Linked DNA regions of Nothobranchius furzeri. The protein of the gene in region 1 purifies or fractionates together with the protein of each later gene. This does not show direct contact. Links are inferred from orthologs where the notes say so. Each region holds a gene or a part of one and is shown on either strand. Other genes may lie near its edges. The genes, in order: mitogen-activated protein kinase kinase kinase kinase 4, striatin and rap2c.

The links.
Region 2: the proteins of mitogen-activated protein kinase kinase kinase kinase 4 (region 1) and striatin purify together in Homo sapiens (affinity purification with mass spectrometry; 4 studies listed by BioGRID and IntAct, with this or other methods). This does not show direct contact. The link is inferred for Nothobranchius furzeri from reciprocal best matches to the Homo sapiens genes MAP4K4 and STRN.
Region 3: the proteins of mitogen-activated protein kinase kinase kinase kinase 4 (region 1) and rap2c purify together in Homo sapiens (affinity purification with mass spectrometry; 3 studies listed by BioGRID and IntAct, counting the BioPlex papers as one, with this or other methods). This does not show direct contact. The link is inferred for Nothobranchius furzeri from reciprocal best matches to the Homo sapiens genes MAP4K4 and RAP2C.

The regions. Positions count from the first base shown.
Region 1 is NC_091754.1:49,140,140-49,143,787, reverse strand, and holds part of mitogen-activated protein kinase kinase kinase kinase 4, read left to right. Parts: intron 1-870; coding exon 871-1,284; intron 1,285-1,864; coding exon 1,865-2,017; intron 2,018-3,648.
Region 2 is NC_091752.1:1,683,462-1,687,109, reverse strand, and holds part of striatin, read left to right. Parts: intron 1-363; coding exon 364-442; intron 443-1,151; coding exon 1,152-1,322; intron 1,323-2,579; coding exon 2,580-2,715; intron 2,716-2,808; coding exon 2,809-2,971; intron 2,972-3,502; coding exon 3,503-3,613; intron 3,614-3,648. UniProt on the Homo sapiens protein: Calmodulin-binding scaffolding protein which is the center of the striatin-interacting phosphatase and kinase (STRIPAK) complexes.
Region 3 is NC_091741.1:84,823,844-84,828,228, reverse strand, and holds the start of rap2c (ras-related protein Rap-2c), read left to right. Parts: upstream 1-1,448; 5' UTR 1,449-2,272; coding exon 2,273-2,545; intron 2,546-2,971; coding exon 2,972-3,250; 3' UTR 3,251-3,257; exon of another isoform or gene 3,258-3,270; intron 3,271-3,341; exon of another isoform or gene 3,342-3,708; intron 3,709-3,718; 3' UTR 3,719-4,385. UniProt on the Homo sapiens protein: Small GTP-binding protein which cycles between a GDP-bound inactive and a GTP-bound active form. May play a role in cytoskeletal rearrangements and regulate cell spreading through activation of the effector TNIK.

The DNA.
Region 1 (3,648 bases):
GGAAGGCGTTTTAGCGTGCCTCTTGCAACCAAAAACATATATAAAAAAATCATTCGTACCAAGAGCTGTACTGATCCCTAACCAACGTGAACGATGAGACCCAATCAGAGCACATGGTGTCATGAATGTTTTTAGTTCTTGAGAGCCGAAGGAAAATTTCCACCACGGTGGACAATAAAGTTTTATTTTATTTTCTGTTCTAAACTTTTTGATACAAACAAAAAAAGGCATGATTTGTAATTCAGCCTTTAATAAACAAATAAGTTTTGAGGTAAGTAAAAGAGACTAAATAAGCTCTACAGACAAATTTAAGAATCAGTCAGGAACTTAAATGTTACATCGTGCTCATTTGTTTTGTTTTCATTGTGATGATTAAAGGTGCAGTATGTAAGAACAGAGTGAGAAATTTACAGTGAGAAAATCCCAAGAGTCTAATGTTTCAGTCATTTTGGAAGGAACATATTTCATATCCAGCTGGGATCGTCAGTTTTTCTCCTTTCAAAACAAAGGAAGGGGGCCGTAACTGCTGTTTAGCAGCGGTGAGAGTGGGGGTGCCGCGTCTCGTGAGCTAATACTGCAGCGCCGACAATTGCAATTTGACGACGGACAGCAAAAAGCTGCAGTGTTTTTTAAAGTGGTTGCAGTAAACAAATTTTGTCACAGGATGCCATTTTTACTTCTTTCTACATAATGCACCTTTAAAACAAATAAATGTGTCAATAATGACTCGGCAAAAGTGAAATTCCAGCCAACAAAGGAAATATGTTTTCAGAATGAGCGTAGAGGTTTAGTGCAGAAGTATAAGTGTGTTTAAACTATGGTTCAGACTTTGTGTGCAGCTTCATTAGCAGCTTGTTGTCATGGTAACAGGAGTTCAAGTGGCGGGAGCTGGAGGAGCAGCGCAAAGCTGAGCGCCTCCATAAGCGGCTGCAGCAGGAGCAGGCCTACCTGCTGTCTCTGCAGCATGAGTCCAAACAGCTGCCTGGCGACCAGACCACAGTCCCCTCAGACCAAAGCAAACCTCCACAGACCTCCACTCTGCCCCCCGCCTCCTCCCCACAAGCTCAGGTCATCCACTCTGCTAGTTCTGAGTCCTCCGGAGCCTCCCGGACTGTCCCTGCTGACAGCGGTGAATCCCAGGAGGAGGCTGATGAGACCAGCCCCAGCCAGAGCTCCCCCTCCTCCACCCCGCACCCCCCTATGAACGAACCCCCTACTGACGCTAAACCCCCCCAGGCAGAAAGTTTGGAGCCTGTCAGTCCCCCTGCTCAGCCTATCGGAGAGGTGAACGTCCTCCTCGGCTCTGTCTGCCCTGCTGCCTGCTCTTTTCAGCTTCCTCTTGCTTGCCTTCACACACGATAGAGCAGACCCTCACACCCAACACCTCAGGTGTTAGCAGACAGATCAGGACTGTCGTCGGAAGTGGAGGATCAGGTTAATGTGTGATGACTGGGCCATCGCATGTGGCCTAAACTAACACAGAGCACCCAGAGCAATGTGTCCCACCAGCAAAATGTCTCTCCTGTGTCCTTAACTCTTCCCTTTGACTCTAAATGTGAGGACGATTTGTTTTTGTTTGTCTTCATGTCTTTTTGTGTCTTTACGGCTGCCTAAAACCGGCCTAAAGCATGTTTACGTCTTTCTCACCGGTCGTCTTTTCCAGAAATAAGTTAAAGGAGCTGTAATACAGGCTAAAGGAGACGGGAACTACTGTTGTTTCAGAAGGAAAACCGTTCACTCGGATCCAAATAAACACAAATGGGACTTTTCTCTAGTTTCTGTTGTAGTTCCCTTCTGCTTGATCAGTGCTTTTAGATCCAGAGTTGTCATTTCTCATCCCGTCTTTCCCGTTCTTCAATCCCAGGCTGATGAACGCTTCCGTAAAAACATCCAGGGCTCCCCTCAGATCGCACCTCCTACAAAGCAGCCCCCCCTGCCTCCCCGCTCCTCCGAACCATTTTCCAACGGGGGCTCCTCGTCCGAGTCTTCCGCCATGCATCGACCTATGGAACCCCAGGTAACTCCTCATTCCTCACCTTTTCCTCCTCTTCCTCCATCTGGTGTGTGCTGACGTGGCTCCCTCCAGGTCTGTTTTTGTGTTTCCTGATGAATCACCACAGAGTCTTACTTTAGAAGGCAGAAATAAAGTTTACCTCCTGTTTCTAAATCCCAAATCCCTCCTGTGTGAGTCGGCACAACTGATGCCTCGGAATACTTTAGCCAGAAACCCTGAATGGGGATAACTCCTGATGGGAGCTCGGAACGACGGCGTATTCGGGTCACGAGGACACTGAGATAAGGAGGAGTCTTTGAGATTAAAGTCCAAATGTCAAGAAAGGGACTAAACTATAAAAAAATGGCATTTGGTTGAATAAGAACTGATCTTTTAACTCTTCTGCATCAGAGGACTTCCTTCAGTCCTTCACAATAAAAGTCCTTCATAATAAGAGTGTTTGGTAATCTGGTATTTTGGCCTTAATCTAGAACTCCTGTTGAGATTTCAACTATAATAATCAGATTAATTCTCGTTTAACTAGTAGCAGACTGACTTAAGCTGGGCGGACACTGTGCGACTTTTTCACTCGTAGCACTCAGCTTCAGCTCAAACTGTACGACTTCCTCGCAGGGCAGATCTCACGAGTCATGTGCTCACACTGTACGTCTGGTAGCAACACGTCGGCCCTAAAAATATGCTAAAAATAGCAGTTTTTACACAACACGTCAGTCTTTTTTGTCTTGCCTGTTGTCCTTCGGGAGTGCTGCAGGAGGACACACAGGGATTTATGGGGTTGGATGAGGAAAAGTAAATCTGTGTTTTCTGATCAGTTTAATTTGACACGAACACGACAAACACGCTTTCTTGACAATCTTTGTGAGTAAAAAAACGTGTAGAAATAAAAACGAACAGCGTGTGTTATTAGGGAAATAGTGGGCGAGCGGTGTTGATGCAGGATTGCGCATGCGCCGTGAGCGGTTCTGATACTTTTTGGGGTCGCAGCCGCTCGCAGCACCGCTTCAACAGTGCGATACCCTCACGAGGGATGAGCAAAATATCAAACACGCCAGAAGTCCGTGTGAGCTCACGGTAGCTGGTCACGTGGTGTTAATCGCCTCTCGTAACCCCCTGTACACTACACGACGCTCGGCGCAAAACTCGCCCCGATCTCGTGGATTCTCGCACGAGTGGAAAATCGGCTCAAAAAGGTGAAAAGGTCGCACAGTGTCCGCCCGGCTTTAGTTATCTCACAAAACGTTAATTTTAGACAAAAAAGAGCAAACTTATGTTTATGTCTTTAATTCCTGCGTCATTAGTTGACAGTCACCTACGCTGGTGTCTAAAGATCTGTGTGAGCCAGGGGAAACCTAAACTATCACAGGCTTATAATCCGGTTTTCACCAAGACCTCGGCGGCGCTGCCAATCAGGAGCATTTCAGACGCACAGCAGCCGTGAATTTGTTCCACACAGCAAAATCATGGCAGAAATTTGTGATGACAAACAAGAAGAAAGACTGAAGCATGTATCCACAAAGGTCTGTGGTTTATTTTCTTCAGAGGTAACAACGTATTAGTTCATTTGTTAAGCAATAAAAAAATCTGCACGTCTTTTATTTTGAAAGTTTCTAGATGTTTTACACTGCTCCCATGTG
Region 2 (3,648 bases), on another chromosome or scaffold:
AGCAGACAGTTTCTAAATATCAAAGCAAGCTTAGAATTAGAGGTCCAAAGGTTGTGTGGTGTCTTTTCACCGTGTCACAGGACACAGTGGAGCAAAGATCAACCACGTGTGTGTCAGAAGACAAGCTCAGGAATGACACGTCTCGTTTTAACATAGGAAGGCTCTTCCACAGAAAGCAGTAGTGATTCCAGGTTTAACTTCAACGATTAAAGCTTTAGAGCGACTGCCTGACTGTAACTGTCGTTCGACTCCACTCAGGTGTTAAGACTGTGTTTAGTTTCCAGGCCATGGTGATGCAGGAATGTCCTTGTTTACTTAGTGTTGGGTGGGTGTGCTGATTTGTGTCCTCCTCTTCTCCTTCAGATGAGGCCAACGAAAACGAGACTTCTGGATCACTCAACAATCAGCTGTCCTGGAAACAAGGCCGGCAGCTCCTCAGACAGTGAGCTCTTTTATTTAAAGCTGACGCTTTACTCCGGACAACCTCCTGAATCTGTTAAATAGAAATACCAGCGTGTTGGCAGGCTAACGTCCTCGCTTCTTGTAGAGTTTGTGAAACGGACTGTGAGGCCAGTGGTTCTGTGAGCAGAAAGGGTAAAAGCTGTGGTGAGCAGCACCCTCACATGGACGGCTGCTGCTGTTACCACGGAGTCGGAGTCATTTCTGTGGTCCTGCTCTCCAGTCTGTCTGTTTAAATAAAGTGACGTCATCGCCAAGCACAATCACATCATACCCTAACACACTATGTTAAAGACGGCTCGGGATGGTGGCAGAAAGGAGCTGCATGCTGATTGGCTGGTTTACCTTGATGGCTCTGTGGCGCTACCCGAAGCCGTGTACCCACATACCTCAACAGGAAAGCTGTGGATCTTTGTTGGTCTAATCGTGTTTTTAAATGATGTCACACGGTGCTGACCTTGTACCGTCGGTTAGCACTCAGAGTTCGTGTTGTAAATGTCTCTCAGCTACTAGCACACCTAGCTTAGTATCCATAAAATTATCACCATGTTCAGTTGTAGGTGTATATCTAACGGCTGCTGTCTAAAAGTCATCCACTGGGTCTTGGTCAGAAACAACACGAGTTGCAGGTGTAACCAAGCGTGCGACCACCACTTCACTGCCTGCTGGTAATCTAGTTCACCCCGTTGCAGGTACCTGCAGGAGGTCGGCTACACAGACACCATCCTGGATGTGAAGTCCCAGCGGGTCCGAGCTCTGCTGGGACTTGCCGGAGACGGAGGCGGGAAAACGGGTGAACGGATGAACACGGAGCCTTCGGTCAACGGAACAGACTCAACGACTAAGGGCATCGGCACACCAGGGTAGGTGTCCTCAGCTTAAAAGTGTGTTGAAGCTGAAATGATGGTTTCTTTGTGAGAGTTATTTCTTTAGGGATGCTAGATAATGCTTTAGGTTCCGGTTGTTAGCATTAGAGCAAAGTCCGTCATTACCAGATTCATGTTTCTAGTAGAGGTAGAAAACCTTTGTTGAAGTACAGTGATCCCTCGTTTATCGCGGTAGATGCGTTCCAGACCTGGCCGCGATAGGTGAAAATCCGCGAAGTAGGGACACCATATTTACAGTATTTATTTAACAGGTACGTATTCAGTATTCAGACTTTTAAAACCCTCCCTTTACATAGAAAATTTTTTAACTTGGTTTTTTATAGTTTTATTACAAAAAGTGCATTTTTTGATGAAAAAAAACAGGAATTTCTTGATATTTCGCATAGAAAATACCGCGAATCGGCGAATTTCCCTTGAATAAGGCTCCAAAGAAAAAATCCGCGAAGTAGGGACACCATATTTACAGTATTTATTTAACAGGTACGTATTCAGTATTCAGACTTTTAAAACCCTCCCTTTACATAGAAATTTTTTTTACTTGGTTTTTTATAGTTTTATTACAAAAAGTGCATTTTTTGATGAAAAAAAAAACAGGAATTTCTTGATATTTCGCATAGAAAATACCGCGAATCGGCGAATTTCCCTTGAATAAGGCTCCAAAGAAAAAATCCGCGAAGTCGTGAATCCGCGATAAACGAACCGCGAAGTAGCGAACGATCACTGTATTTGAACATAAAAACAGGGGCGATAAGAGGCTTCGCTCTCCAAATATGCAATGAGCATAATTTGAAAGGCATATTTTCATGTTTAAAAAGCTTAAACGCGTCCACACAACTGATGTCATCCGCTGTGTCTTCTGTCTTTTTTTTATTTTATTTCTGGACACAAATTTTTCCTTTTTTGACAAAAGTCCTGCCCTGCTCAAACATTAGCTGTTAGCGCGTCCAGCTGCTACCGAGCTGCACGGCTCCATTCCAGCCACATGATTGGTCCAACGCAGAGCAGCTCTTACTACCACTTGCTACTCATCTGTTCTACAAACTGCATCGACCTGTTCTTGTGTATCTATTGACAAAAAATGATCCTGAGTTATATTTGTATCGTTTCATCGCCAGCAGAAATATTCCAGGAACATTTCAGGCCTTTCAGATGAACCTTGGTCCATTAGAAACGGGTACTGGATAAATCCTGGACACGTTGTTAATCTAACCAGTCGTAAACGTCCCCCTTCAGGAAAGCTGAGCTCTCCGACACTAGCGCCGTCCTGGAGGCCTTCAAATTCATTGAAAACGCAGCGGCTGAGTTCAGCGATGAAGATGAGGAGGAGGACAGTGAGGGGAAGGAGAGGACTAATGTGGAATCCAGGACTGTAAGACACTCGTCTCCCCTCGCCCTTCTGAACTGACACAATCGTGCCCCCCCCCCCCCCCCCAAAAAAAAAATCTTTTCTTATCATTTTTAGATCATGAGGAAGAAACCTCCTTCGTCATCATCACCAGCCAGTATGGACACCAGTGAGGACCCTGACGCCGAGGAGGCGCTGAAAGGCTTTGACTTCCTGTCCAGCCCCGACGAGACGGACACCTCGTCAGAGTCCAGAGGGACTGGAGACGGCACAGACTGGGGTGAGTCTAAATGTCTTGATGTACTATTTATTTATTATGGATGCAGTTAGATTATTTAGCTCCTCTTGGACGATAAGTTCAGATACTTCATAAAATGATCTTAAGATGTTGTATTCTTGTTTTTGGAGCCGATCATGGAGAAGTCGTCATTCATTTTTCATGCTGTGGTCATAAATCACGACACCAGGAGCGTTTAACTCATAGTTTGTCTGTTTGTCCCCATATCCTGTTTGTGTCCACAATGTGTCTCCTGCCTCGTGTCTCCTCTGACCAAACCCCGACCTGTTCAGGTGTTTAAAATTTAAACAACTTAATTTGTCTCTCGACACCGACGCGTATGGAGAGAGAAGACACCTGCCGGCTCCGCTCCCAGTATTTAAGAACACTTTTACTCCTCTGGAGGGTTTGAGAGCAGCGCGACGTCCAGAGGAGTAAAACCCCTGAGAGGTGTCTGCTCTGCCAGGCCCATCTGTTCTCGACCGGGGCGCTTCCTCAACAGCCTCTCGGTCTGGTTTTCTCCCCCTTGTTTAGAAAAGGACAAGCAAGGTCCCATTTCTGAGACCTGGGACGTGGACCCGGTCCTGATAACCGAACTCAAGGAGCAGTACAAAAAGGAGCGCAAGGGGAAAAAGGGGGTGAAGAGTAAGTCCTGTCAGGCACTGCCGCCTCCCTCCCTC
Region 3 (4,385 bases), on another chromosome or scaffold:
CTGGCTTAAGTTTTTGAACAACTCTGGAGCTTTTTGCCTGCTAGTGTCAAGTTACAAATTCCAGAGCTGCAGTGTTGGCTCATGCAGAATCGACAAGCTTGCAGGCTCATAGATCTCAAACAGTAACTACATCCGTCTTTGACCATTTTTAAAGGAGAAAAACTGACCCCCCCCCCCCCCCCCCCCCAGCCGGCTGAGAAGGAAAACAATAAATCAATATAAATTCACTTCCAACAGGATTGAGACATTAGACTGTTTTGTGATTATTTCACAGTTAAACTCTTACATATTGAACTAGGGATGCACCGATACAACGTTTTGCTAAAAACCAATACGATATTGATACATCTACCACACAAAAAAAAGCTATGAATTGGATTACAGGTTTTTATTTTCGTCTCTGCTTTCAACAGGAAAAGACTGTGAGGTAGATAAAAAATGAAATATATTAATAAAAATGATCACAAAACTAAAATATTAGGCAAACAGAAATGAGAAGTTACAGTAAAGCAACTTTGAGGCAACTGCATTGGTATTGGTAAAAGGTAACCAATGCTAGGAACTGATATATCTAAACCAATACTGGTATCGATATTGACCCAATACCAATATCAGTTTCGGTGCATCCCTATATTGAACCTTTGAGACTCTGCATATATTATAAAGACTCTGTACAAATATTTCATCACAGATGAACCAGTTAGTGATTTGTTTTTCATGCGTTGGCAAAAAAAAAAAATGCAGGAAATCCTTAGGATCACAAATTAAAAAATCAAGAAACAAAAGGCGAGAGTGATCTCCAACACATGTTGTAATTTATATTTTTTGGTTATTCTTTTACAAATTTTCTCCCTATGTGCCTTACAGCAGAGATTTGTCTGAGATCAGATTTATTTTGTTTTTGATTTTTTGTTAAACCATTAGAATCAGCTGAAAAACACGATATGTTTGAAAGGATTACATTTTCCCAATCAGAGTATACCACAAAACACTGGATATGATTAATCTTTCCTGGCAAAAAAAAAACTATCATCAGAAATAAATAAACAGCAACACTACAAAGATAACTTTACAAACAAAGCTGAAAATCATGATTTCTTATTATAACTCAACATTAAAACTAATTTTCACAGTTAACTTGTGTAGAATGGTGCATTCATTGGCCAAATTCAACAAAAATAAATAAATAAACAGCTGTCTCCAGGCAGTGGCTCAGTGGTTAGATCTATTGCCTTGCAGTAAGAAGGTCCTAGGTACACTTCCCGGCCTGGGATCTTTCTGCATGGAGATTGCATGTTCTCCCTGTGCATGCGTGGGTTCTCTCCGGGTATTCTGGCTACCTCCCACATGACTGTTAGGTTGATTGGTCTGTCTAAAAATTGTCCTTAGGTGTGTGTGTGTGTGTGTGTGTGTGTGTGTGTGTGTGTGTGTGTGTGTGTGTGTGTGTGTGTGTTGCCCTGCGATGGACTCTGTCCAGGGTGTACCCCGCCTGGTTGCCCATTGACCACTGGAGATAGGCACCAGTCCCCCCACGACCCTGCATGGGCAAGCGGGTTCAGACAATGGATGGATGGAAAACAGCTGGCTCCTTTTATTTTCATACTCGGGCCTAATTCCAGTTTGTAGAGCTTTTATTTTGAAAGCATTGACGGTGCGGAAGTAGCCCGTCAGCTTCCGGAAATCAGTCGGTGGAGAAAAGATTTCCTTTATGCTGGAAAAACTGATCTACAGAGTCCAGCACACACGAGGACTGCTTAAGAACTGTAGCTAATGGACTGGTGGATTGCAACACCGAACCTGCGTTGATAGGACGCTTGGCTACCGAGGCCGCGGGCCGGGCCGGAACCAGAGCCAGGCCCGGACCCGGACACAAGAAAGCGCTGCGACACCAGCAGGCTGGTGTGTGAGCGGGGAAGGTGGTATGGTGTCTGTAGAGGAGGTTGAATGTGGATCACGGTGACTCGCTGTCTGCCTACAGACAGCGAGTTCTCCGTTGAGTCCAAGCCGACTTGCGGTGCTTCAGATCGAATGTGAAGGCTCGAAGCCTCCGGAATGGAATGGCTGGAAATTAGCCAGACTGGAGGTAGCTTCACCGCGATTTAACAAGAGTTAGAAAACATAGATGTGTGTCAGAAATGGGCGTTATGTGAATGAGCAGAGCTTGTTTCATGCCGTCTAACTGTTTCCAGCTGTTCTGTTAGATATTTTTAAGGCCTGTGCGGTGTTAATGGAGGGAGTATAGCTGCCGAGTTAGCCAGCCTCCACCTCCCCAATGAAAGAATACAAAGTTGTCGTGCTGGGGAGCGGTGGCGTCGGGAAGTCCGCGCTCACCGTCCAGTTTGTCACCGGCACTTTTATCGAGAAGTACGACCCGACCATCGAGGACTTTTACCGAAAGGAGATCGAGGTAGACTCATCGCCCTCCGTGCTGGAGATACTGGACACGGCGGGGACGGAGCAGTTCGCCTCCATGAGGGACCTGTACATCAAGAACGGGCAGGGCTTCATCCTGGTCTACAGCCTGGTCAACCAGCAGTCCTTCCAGGTAGCCCTGCTGGAAACCTCCACAGTGCAGAGAAACTTTATAGATCAACAGGAGTTATTTGGTCATAAGGGTCCAATTAAACCCGTTTCTTTAGGTGAGAGTTGTTGTAGTGACCTTATAATAACTCAAAAGAAGCTTCACACTCTTCATCAGCTTATGACAACAAATAAAATGGTTAAAAACGATGTTTTGAGACTAAAATGTCAAAAAACCCGTCAAAGCAACGAACACTAGTTTTACTTGATTTGTTCTTATTTTTCCCCACTTTGCATGTCCTGGTAACCATTTAACCTACAGCTTCGCTGTAAAATTAGTGGAAGATTGCAAGAAAACACATTCGTCTTTATATTAGTAAAGCCTGAACTACTAATTTGTTCCTTAGAGCTTTTATGCATTCCCACATGTCTGTGCTTGTGTGTTTTTCAGGATATCAGGCCGATGCGAGACCAGATCGTACGAGTGAAGCGTTTTGAGAAGGTGCCGTTGATCCTGGTCGGCAACAAAGTGGATCTGGAATCTGAGCGAGAGGTCGCCGGATCGGACGGACGGGCTCTGGCTCAAGAGTGGGGCTGCCCCTTCATTGAAACTTCTGCCAAGAGCAAGACCATGGTGGATGAGCTGTTTGCAGAAATCGTGCGACAGATGAACTACTCCACGCTGCCGGAGAAGCAGGAGCAGTGCTGTACGGCCTGCGTGGTGCAGTGAGGTCGACGTAGGTATGCACAGTTGAATCCTGACTAATTTTACAAAATGTGATGAAATGTCCTTGCTGCTTGTGTAAAAAAATGCTTCACAGGCTGAGGGGGGGAAGTGACACATGGACTGGTACTGTGGCGTTTTCATTTGCAGCGTGAAGAAATGGAGGGATTTGGCTGGAAGTGAGAATGACGAGTGGGTGGCGCTGCAAACCGTTTGTAAGCTTGTTATCATAAGATCACAGAACGTAGAGGACCCAGCTATCTGAGCAGCTCAGAACTGGAAGGAAAGAGACCCAGAAGAGTTGTCAGCTGATCCGCGGAAAGAGGAAAAAGTCACATCCTGAGAGAGAATTTAGCCTCCAAAACAGGAAGTTCAGTCTAGTAGAGATGCTGCCTTTGTTACCAGCTTCCACTGACCTTTTCAACTCATTTCATTAACTAACATTTTTTTTTTCTTCTTTTAAAATCTAAAAAGTTTGGATCACCGCAAGCATTTAGAAGAACCTGAGGACTACCTGACTCGTGTCTGACAACAACCTACCGGATCAGTGGTTTCTGACTGACAGAAGAAGACATCACTCCTATTTTTGATATTGTAACTGTTGGACGATGCTCTTGCTGCAACCTCAACAGCCTTTTTGATGAAGCGGGAAGCAGTCAGGCACACGCCTTCTTTGGAAGAACAGTCCTTTGTGAATTTCTGTCTTATTGGTTTTATTCTTTTATCCATTTTTAGATGGTTTTCTTGAAGCAGGACTGATGTGTGAGGTTGCAGCACCTTTCTAAAGCTGCTTTAATCATTACTATATTCTTTAATATTACTTGTATAATGTCTGAAATTTGGAATTTGATAAAGTATTTCATATTAATGAAGCGTTTTGACTTTTAACCATGCATACACAAACCAGTGTGCTGCCCAGGTGTACTGCTCACCTTATTCTGAAACTCCAAGTATCCTCTAACTGACACAGACCACAGCAGTATATGTTGATAGATTATTTTTTTTCTGAGATTGTGTAACTGTGGGTTAAGTACTAAAATAAAACTAGTGTAAAAGGACAGTTAAACATCTATATATTAAAAGTGACCTGAGGCAGCTGAACTTACCTGAAAAGCTCAAAGGTAAAAGTGCACCATTTAAA